Stegostoma tigrinum: one gene and its partner. The protein of the gene in region 1 interacts with the protein of each later gene in a pairwise test. Links are inferred from orthologs where the notes say so. Each region holds a gene or a part of one and is shown on either strand. Other genes may lie near its edges.

The links. The genes of interacting proteins can lie anywhere in the genome.
Region 2: the proteins of ryr2a (region 1) and fkbp1b interact in binary tests that used the Homo sapiens proteins (3 or more experiments, as listed by UniProt). The link is inferred for Stegostoma tigrinum from reciprocal best matches to the Homo sapiens genes RYR2 and FKBP1B.

The regions. Positions count from the first base shown.
Region 1 is NC_081362.1:78,695,236-78,698,989, reverse strand, and holds the start of ryr2a (ryanodine receptor 2), read left to right. Parts: upstream 1-834; 5' UTR 835-940; coding exon 941-988; intron 989-3,754. UniProt on the Homo sapiens protein: Cytosolic calcium-activated calcium channel that mediates the release of Ca(2+) from the sarcoplasmic reticulum into the cytosol and thereby plays a key role in triggering cardiac muscle contraction. Aberrant channel activation can lead to cardiac arrhythmia.
Region 2 is NC_081357.1:122,404,507-122,408,260, forward strand, and holds the start of fkbp1b (peptidyl-prolyl cis-trans isomerase FKBP1B), read right to left. Parts: upstream 2,968-3,754; 5' UTR 2,876-2,967; exon of another isoform or gene 2,827-2,875; intron 1-2,826. UniProt on the Homo sapiens protein: Has the potential to contribute to the immunosuppressive and toxic effects of FK506 and rapamycin. PPIases accelerate the folding of proteins. It catalyzes the cis-trans isomerization of proline imidic peptide bonds in oligopeptides.

The sequences.
Region 1 (3,754 bases):
TTCTATTTTGAAGAATAATATTTATTTCCCAATTAGCACCCTTCAAAGCATGTTATCTAGTCATTAACATTCTAGATGGTTCTGTATTCCGCACAATAGTCACAATGCTCGAGAAAAATACTTATTATGTACCTAAGTCATTTTGGGGGGTGCGAGCTGTGATCCAAAAAGGTGCTATATCAATACAAGCCTTTCTTTCTTATTCTCCAGCATCAACAAAAGAAAAAACATACACAAAATGCTAATATTTATCACCATTTATTTAAGTGTTGGGGGGGAGGAGGTAGAATATTTTATAACTAGTGAAAGCGACGAAATAATGCACTAAGTCATAGAAAATCGACGACCCGTACATTATTGCACACAATTTGAGGAGATGCATGTAGCTCATCTGCACCTCTTCCTGATAAGCTTTTTTTTCCCTGACACATTCGGCGATGTCTCTCCGCAGGCACTTGGTTTTGCGGAATAGCTTGCGGCGAAAGTTTCATGAGCAAAAGTAAGAGAGATTTAATAAAAAACCAGGAAAAAGAGAAATTGCTGAAAAAGCCCGGCAGGACTGGAGTTCTGAGGAAGGGTCACTCTGCTTTCTCTCTCTCTCTCTCTACAGATGCTCTCTGAGCTTTTCCAGCAATTTCTGATTTCCAGCATCAGCATTTCTTTTTGGGTGGGAGGGGGGGGGGTTGGAAATAATCGAATCTGGGTCTGCTACAGCGCGAGCGCGAGCATCTGACGGTGCGCACCACCGCTCCCTCCCCCGCAACCCCTTCGGGCTCGCGCTCGCGGAATCCCCGAGCGGAGACGCGCGCGGGAGAGCCAGAGAGGGAAGAGAGGAGGATTTGCAGCTCTGCTGTGATAAGAGTCCATCATCCAGGGGACAGACAACCAGCCGCGCCTGTCTTCTCCCTCCCCTCATCCCACATCACCCTCCCTTGCGGTCATGGCTGAGGTGGGAGAAGGAGAAGACGAAATTCAGTTCTTACGAACTGTAAGTACCTCTTTCTCACACCACCACCACCATCCCCCCATTATTATTTCCATCTCCCTCACCTCGCGTACCATTAAATAATGTGTTCTTCGCTCTTTAACCCTCCCCACCCCACTGTGTGAAAAGGACGCGAGGATTTATTTCAGCCGCATTTGAATCAATGTGTATTAGTCCTGCACTGCACTTAGCGGGTGCGCTGTCACCAACCGCATGCTGTGTTCGCGGTGCTTTTATCTTGGATGGAATTATTCTCTCAGTAAATCGGAAAGCTTCTGCTGTCTGGTGCATTTCTTCTGGGGAAAAAATGTGATTGCAAAGAGGCGGAAATGAAGTGTCAAAGAATCTTTGCATCCCAGGGCGGACTATGTGACAATAACTGATGGCGTTTATAATTTGAACGAAGCAGGAGTTAGTACAGTATTGAATTTTTTTCTCCCCCCCCCCACCCCCTTCCTTAGTAGTGTGGGGCTAGCGGAAGAGTTAGCGGGATGCTGTTTGACGGGCTGTTAGGGAATGAGCGCTGTTATCTGGGCTGCACTGTTAGATGGATAGAGGCAAGGTTTGGATTTGGTGCCCTGTGTTGCTCTAATGAGCATGTTTCATGCGTAAGACACGCAGGCAGTCACCGTGGTGCCGCTGTTGCTCATTGTTCAGTTCATAAGCAATGCAGTTGCCCCGTTTGGCTCTCAGTATTTGTGCAAACCAACCGTAACGAGCCGTCATATCCAGTGCTCGGGTTCTTTGGTTCGTCTTGCTCTGTACACGGGTCGATGCAGTTAATTTTCACAGAAACATATCATTGCATTTTTAATGCACGCCTCTACACAATTTAAATATGCGGAAATTTCGCGCAAGTATCGCCAGAGTATGCGTGTTTTTTTGAGGTGTGAAGCATAACACAAAACTGAAAACCAAGCATCGAGTTGTAAAGTGTTTGTATTTCTTAACAGTGGTATATGTCATGCATGCTCATCTTGAACGGACCACTAGCGTCTCCATGTCACCTCAAGTGATTTATAAAAAGCGTTTACAAAGTTTTTAAAGCTTGCTTGGAATAAGGGAGCGTAGAGGCATTTATTGGTTCACAATCCGAATACCTAGTGGTGTTACATTTGACTAGAAGTTTAGCAACGTACTATACTTATAGAGCAATGCCAACGCAGCATACAGCAGTGGGGTTACACAAACATTAGGCAAGCCCATGTTCTGTTAACTAATGTAGACTTTGGCCGTTTATCCTGAGGTTTCCTTTGCAACAAAATGCTGAACTTGGATGAAATGACCTTGAGTGAAAGTACAATGTGAATCAAACTTTTTTTGTTATATATCATGCATGTTTGTAATGTTTAGGAGAGTTGCACGGGTTAAAGGAAAGCTGACTGCAGTAGAAATGTTCAATTGTTTTATTTACAAGAACACTGCTATTTGTCCTATTTTAACAGAGAGGCTAAAATCTGATATTGATCAGTACACACCGGCCATCATGTTTTAGTATTTAAAATTACCATTAGTTTCTACAGACCTATATAACATGCAAGTAAATTATCCATATACTGAAAACTTAAAATGCAGAACCAACTCAAAGTCAGGTGTCAAGATCTGTAATATATCAGATGAACAGAGACAAGATTTAGATTTTGCTTCTGTATGCTAATTCTCTATATTAATCAAGTGTATTAAGCCTTCAAAAATGTGTAGTGTAAAAGCTGTGTATAGCTAAATCTGAATACCTCAATCTCAGTATACCAAATCTTGAAGTTTTCAGTTATCATCATTTTGTTACTGTAATGTTTCAATAATGAAATGCATGCAATCAACATTAACAAATTAAGACAAATTCTAAGCTACCAAAAAAAACCTACAAAATTTCTGTAGATTAATTCATTGCCAGCAATGAAAGTGATGAATGGTTATTCATTTTTACCCAAAGGAATATCAACCTGCAAAACGAACAATAGTCTTAATTTTAAATTCTCACAATGACCTTGGAACCATACTGATGATTCATGTGCTTTTGTAGATGACAGCCTGGTGTCTGTAGATCCTATTTGTTGAGCAACATTTCCCACAATGTTTGTCAAAGAATGTGCACTGAGCCCATTCACTGTTGTCTTGCATTGGGAGCTCCTCCATAATGGTGCATTCTGCTTAATGTATGTAGCACTGTGTTTTGGATTATAGGACAGGATCTGTATATAGATCACAAAAAGAGAACTGCACAATTTGAGCCATTCCTTTTTGGCAAACTGAAGAAGGAACTACGAACTAAAGACATTGTGGGGCTACAGAAATTAAACTGATGAGCAGCTTTGGGTGACCATGAACAGTACAGATATAGGTACTGATCATTCTTTAGTTATTAACTGTTGCATTGCCTGTTTTGTTTAGATTCATAGTTATAGTCATTTATAGCACAGAAGGAGGCAGTTCAGCCCTTTGTTTCCGTGCCAGTCAACAAAAATCTGATTATATTAATCACATTTTCCAGCTCTCACTTCATAGCCCTGGAGGCTATGGTAATACGAATGACTACCTAATTACTGCTTCAGGTGTTACGAGAAATTCAGAATCAACTACTGTTTGAGGCAGTGATTGCCAGATTCCCACTCCCCTACCATACAGAGCAACCCCATGGCAAAACTTGGGTGGCATGGTGGCTCACTGGTTAGCACTCCTCCCTCACAGTGTTTGATTCCAGCCCTGGGTGACAGTCTGTCAGAGCTTTCCTGTGTCTGCCTGGGTTTCTTCTACGGGCTGTCCCACAGT
Region 2 (3,754 bases), on another chromosome or scaffold:
GTACAAATTGATACTTTAGTTTTGAGCTCATATGATTTTGTGATCATGTAATTGAGGAAATGTTCGTTCATTATTTTTCTTTATTTCTAGTTCATTAGGAAAGTTGTTAGGCAACGGCATACTGACGTAGGGAGTGAAATTATAGTTCTGATTGTTATCTTATGAGCTGAATCATGAACTCCTGCTTTAAGTAGGAGTAACAATGCATATATTTCTATAAGTGTGCACTGTGTGACATTTTACAGTTTAGACAAAGGGTAGAAATGACTCATTTTGAGTGAGCTATAGTTCAGCCTTCCTTGACTCACATGCTTTTTAATAGGGTTTCTTCCATTCTTCTTAACAAATACACATCTACTACAAGTAAGAAAGATTCTACTAATCCTCTTCAGCACAACCTAATGATTTATCTACTAACAGGATGTGACCTTTAGTGGCGATCTTTGGCAATAAATTGGTTCCGAAGCGTCATGTGGTTCCAGTGCTTAACAGAGAAATGTTTCACGTTGGCTGCACAATTCATAAAGTTTCCAGTCAACAATAATGTGATATCACAGGAAGTTAAACTACCCGATTTTAGCCCAGCCACAATGTATGTAATTCAGTGTTTCACAAACAGGAATGAACCTCCAGCTGCATTGCAATACAAAATCTTCCTCCTGATTCAGATGAATTGTTTGAAAAACTGTGGTTTCGAAATGGATGGGCAGCTTTTTGACATATGGACTGGATCTTGGCAAATGAGGCACAGCATTTTAGTCAGGAAGTTTCCTAACTCGCCAAAAAACGTGACCTGTTCCTTGGGTCTTTGTTCCACTTTTTTTAGAAGCTGCTAGGCCAACCAGCCCCTAAGTCTTAAAGGCTCTAATGACCTTACCCACTCTATGGCCTAACATGTCTTTATGAATGCCTGGTTGACCTGTCACAAAAGGTATCATAATAGCCCCTGAAGAAATGACAAGAAAGAGTTCTATCGTAATTGCCCAAACAGTTGTTACATTTTTTTAACCTCTGCCCTTCATTCAAAGCAGTCCAGTAAATTTTTTGTAAACTCTCACTGACAGTCTCAGCCTTTTGTTTTTGAAGATTAAATAGTGGGTCATTTAAAAAAAACCTTCAGATAATGATAGTTGTACTGATTATCGCTGCCTGAAAATGACATTGATGCTTATTTCATCAGACATTGTTGGTAAGAAAGCTTGCATCAACCAAGGTGGGGTCTTTTTGAACTGAGTGGAGTTCGAATGGCCCTGTTGAGTTCTGAATACACTCCTGTGTATCACAAACTATCCCCTTTCCACTGCTGGCAAAAACTAGACCTGTCAGAATTGTGGACAGAACTTCTGTGTCCAAATTTCAACTGCCATTCCTGAAGAGGTGCAGAGTTAGGAAGGCTGCACAAAAATTTGGCTCAAAGTGTTTCCCTGCTTCACAAGGTAGTGCCCAAGCAGATGGTTGATAAATTGTTTGATCAGGAATGCAGTCTCCCATCCTCCTTTGCTAGAAACACGGAGCTTAAGGAAACTGCAGTTGGTCCAGTCTCATCTCCAACACTCAGAACAGTTTGGCTGAGCTACAAAAATTATTTCATCCTTTAATCACAATCGTTATTTTCAACTGCTGGGCTACGAGCACCATCAGTGGGTGTTCATGGAAACTTAAATTCCAAACAGCACCAGAAAAACTGGTGGTGTATCTTAATTTATGGAGTCTGAACTATTACAAAAAGAGAAAAATCTTTCAGATTTGGAGTTAATATGGAACATATTAACATCTCAATTGAATGTTGCAAATCTACAACAACACATTTATTTAATGCCTCCAACATGATGAAATGGTACAAGCCAATTAACATGAGTATTATTAAGCAAAGAACGATACCAAGGCTGCCACAATGACACTGGGCATGTCTGCAGAGTAGCCAGTGAACTGCAAAACTGTATAGTTAGTTATCTTTTAGTTTTGAGTTTTCCAAAATAAGCAACAGAAAATCCTTAACAATAAACAAGATAACAGTGCTGCTGTATTTCAAAATTTGAAACATTTTTCTATTTGTGATTGCACTGTTGCTCCTGCAGAATGTGGTAACATAAACAACATTCAGGAATCATAGCATGTTAATTTAAAAAATTGATATAGCAACTAATCTAAGGGGACCTGGGACAGAAATAAGGGTTTTGGGGAGAAAATTAACGCTGACACTCCTGTGCAGTATGTGGGAGTATAACATTGTTGGAGGTGCCATCTTTCAGATGAGAAATTAAACCAGGGCTTTATTCTACTTGCTAAGGTGGATGTACAAAACACCATGGCACTACTTCAAAAATGATCAGGGGAGTTATACATGGTGAGATGATCATCATTTATCTCTCAAGCAATATCACAAAAAACATCAGCTGTTCAATCTCACATTTCTATCTGTAGATGTTTGCTGAGCACAAAATAACTGCTACGCCTCTAACATTAGAACAGTAACTCCCCTTAAAAACTAACGCTTAATTGGTAGCAAGGTGCTTTGACATTGTCAGTGATCGTGAATAAGCGCTTCATAAATGCGACTCTTTGCTTTTTAGTTGGTGTGGTGAACTCCAATCTATCCCTAGTGTTGGCTCTCTCCTTTTCACATTAAATAGGTTTCACCTAAATCATGAATTATGTAAAGATTTGTTTTAAAGAAAAACCTCCTCCAACCAGTCCTAACTTTATTTTTAAGTGGTTTGAACTTATCCCCCTTTACCTTAACTTCAAGATGTTTCCAATTGTCTGATAAATGCTAGCAGCTGTCTAATTACCCATCACTAGTTTAAAAATCAGAAAATTCAATACCTTGGCTCCTTTTTCTTTGTTAAAAGTTCCTTATACTCATTGCACCCACCTCTGTTGAGGTTTATTGTGAGGATGGAGAGGAAAAAGAAATAGTCAATATTTCCCAATGGCTCAGACACAATACCTCATCCATCCTCCCCTTGCCGTGTCTGAGCGAACTTCGCGCATGCGTGCCGTGTACACCCGCGCTTCCACGAACAGACCGGAAGTAAGGCGGTTGCTAGGGGCAAGCTTCCGGTGAGGATGCCGCGCCAATGCAGCTCAAGTCCCTCTGAGCTTTCTGCTGCCGTTGCCGGGGGCGGGGGGTTGTTGTGAGGGGGAGGGAGGCTGTCGCTGGGTGAGTGTCACCGCGACCGCTCGGGCTCGTCGAAACGGAACGGGTTTCGCCCAGCTTTCTCTCGCTTCAGGTCCGGGTGCTACCTGCTCACCCCCCCCAAACCCCCCCATCCTCCCCAATCCCCCCCATCCTCCCCAATCCCCCCCATCCTCCCCAATCCCCCCATCCTCCCTCACCATGTGGGGGAAACATCCCAGAAACTGTGCTGTTTGGTCTAATTGCTCAACAACAACAACAGAATCCATTGTCTGTTCATTTATTCTCATCGCTTGCTGTTCGTGGGACTTTGCTGTGCACAAATGACCAGCCCTGATTGATAGCAACATTTCAAGGCTTCCCAAAATGCTTATAATGCTGTGTAAATACAAGAGAAGTATCTCGACCCAGAGGGTGTCTGGTTTGTAGAATTTGCTGCCACGGAAAGTGGTTGAGGCTAAGTCGAAACAGATACAGTTCCTAGGGTGAAAGGGTTCACAGGGAGGGGTACGGGGGGAAAGCGGGAACAGGACACTGAGTTGGACGATCAGCCACGATCACATAGTCAGATACCACGGGATAAGGCTCTTTGGTCCAACCAGTCCGTGTCAAACA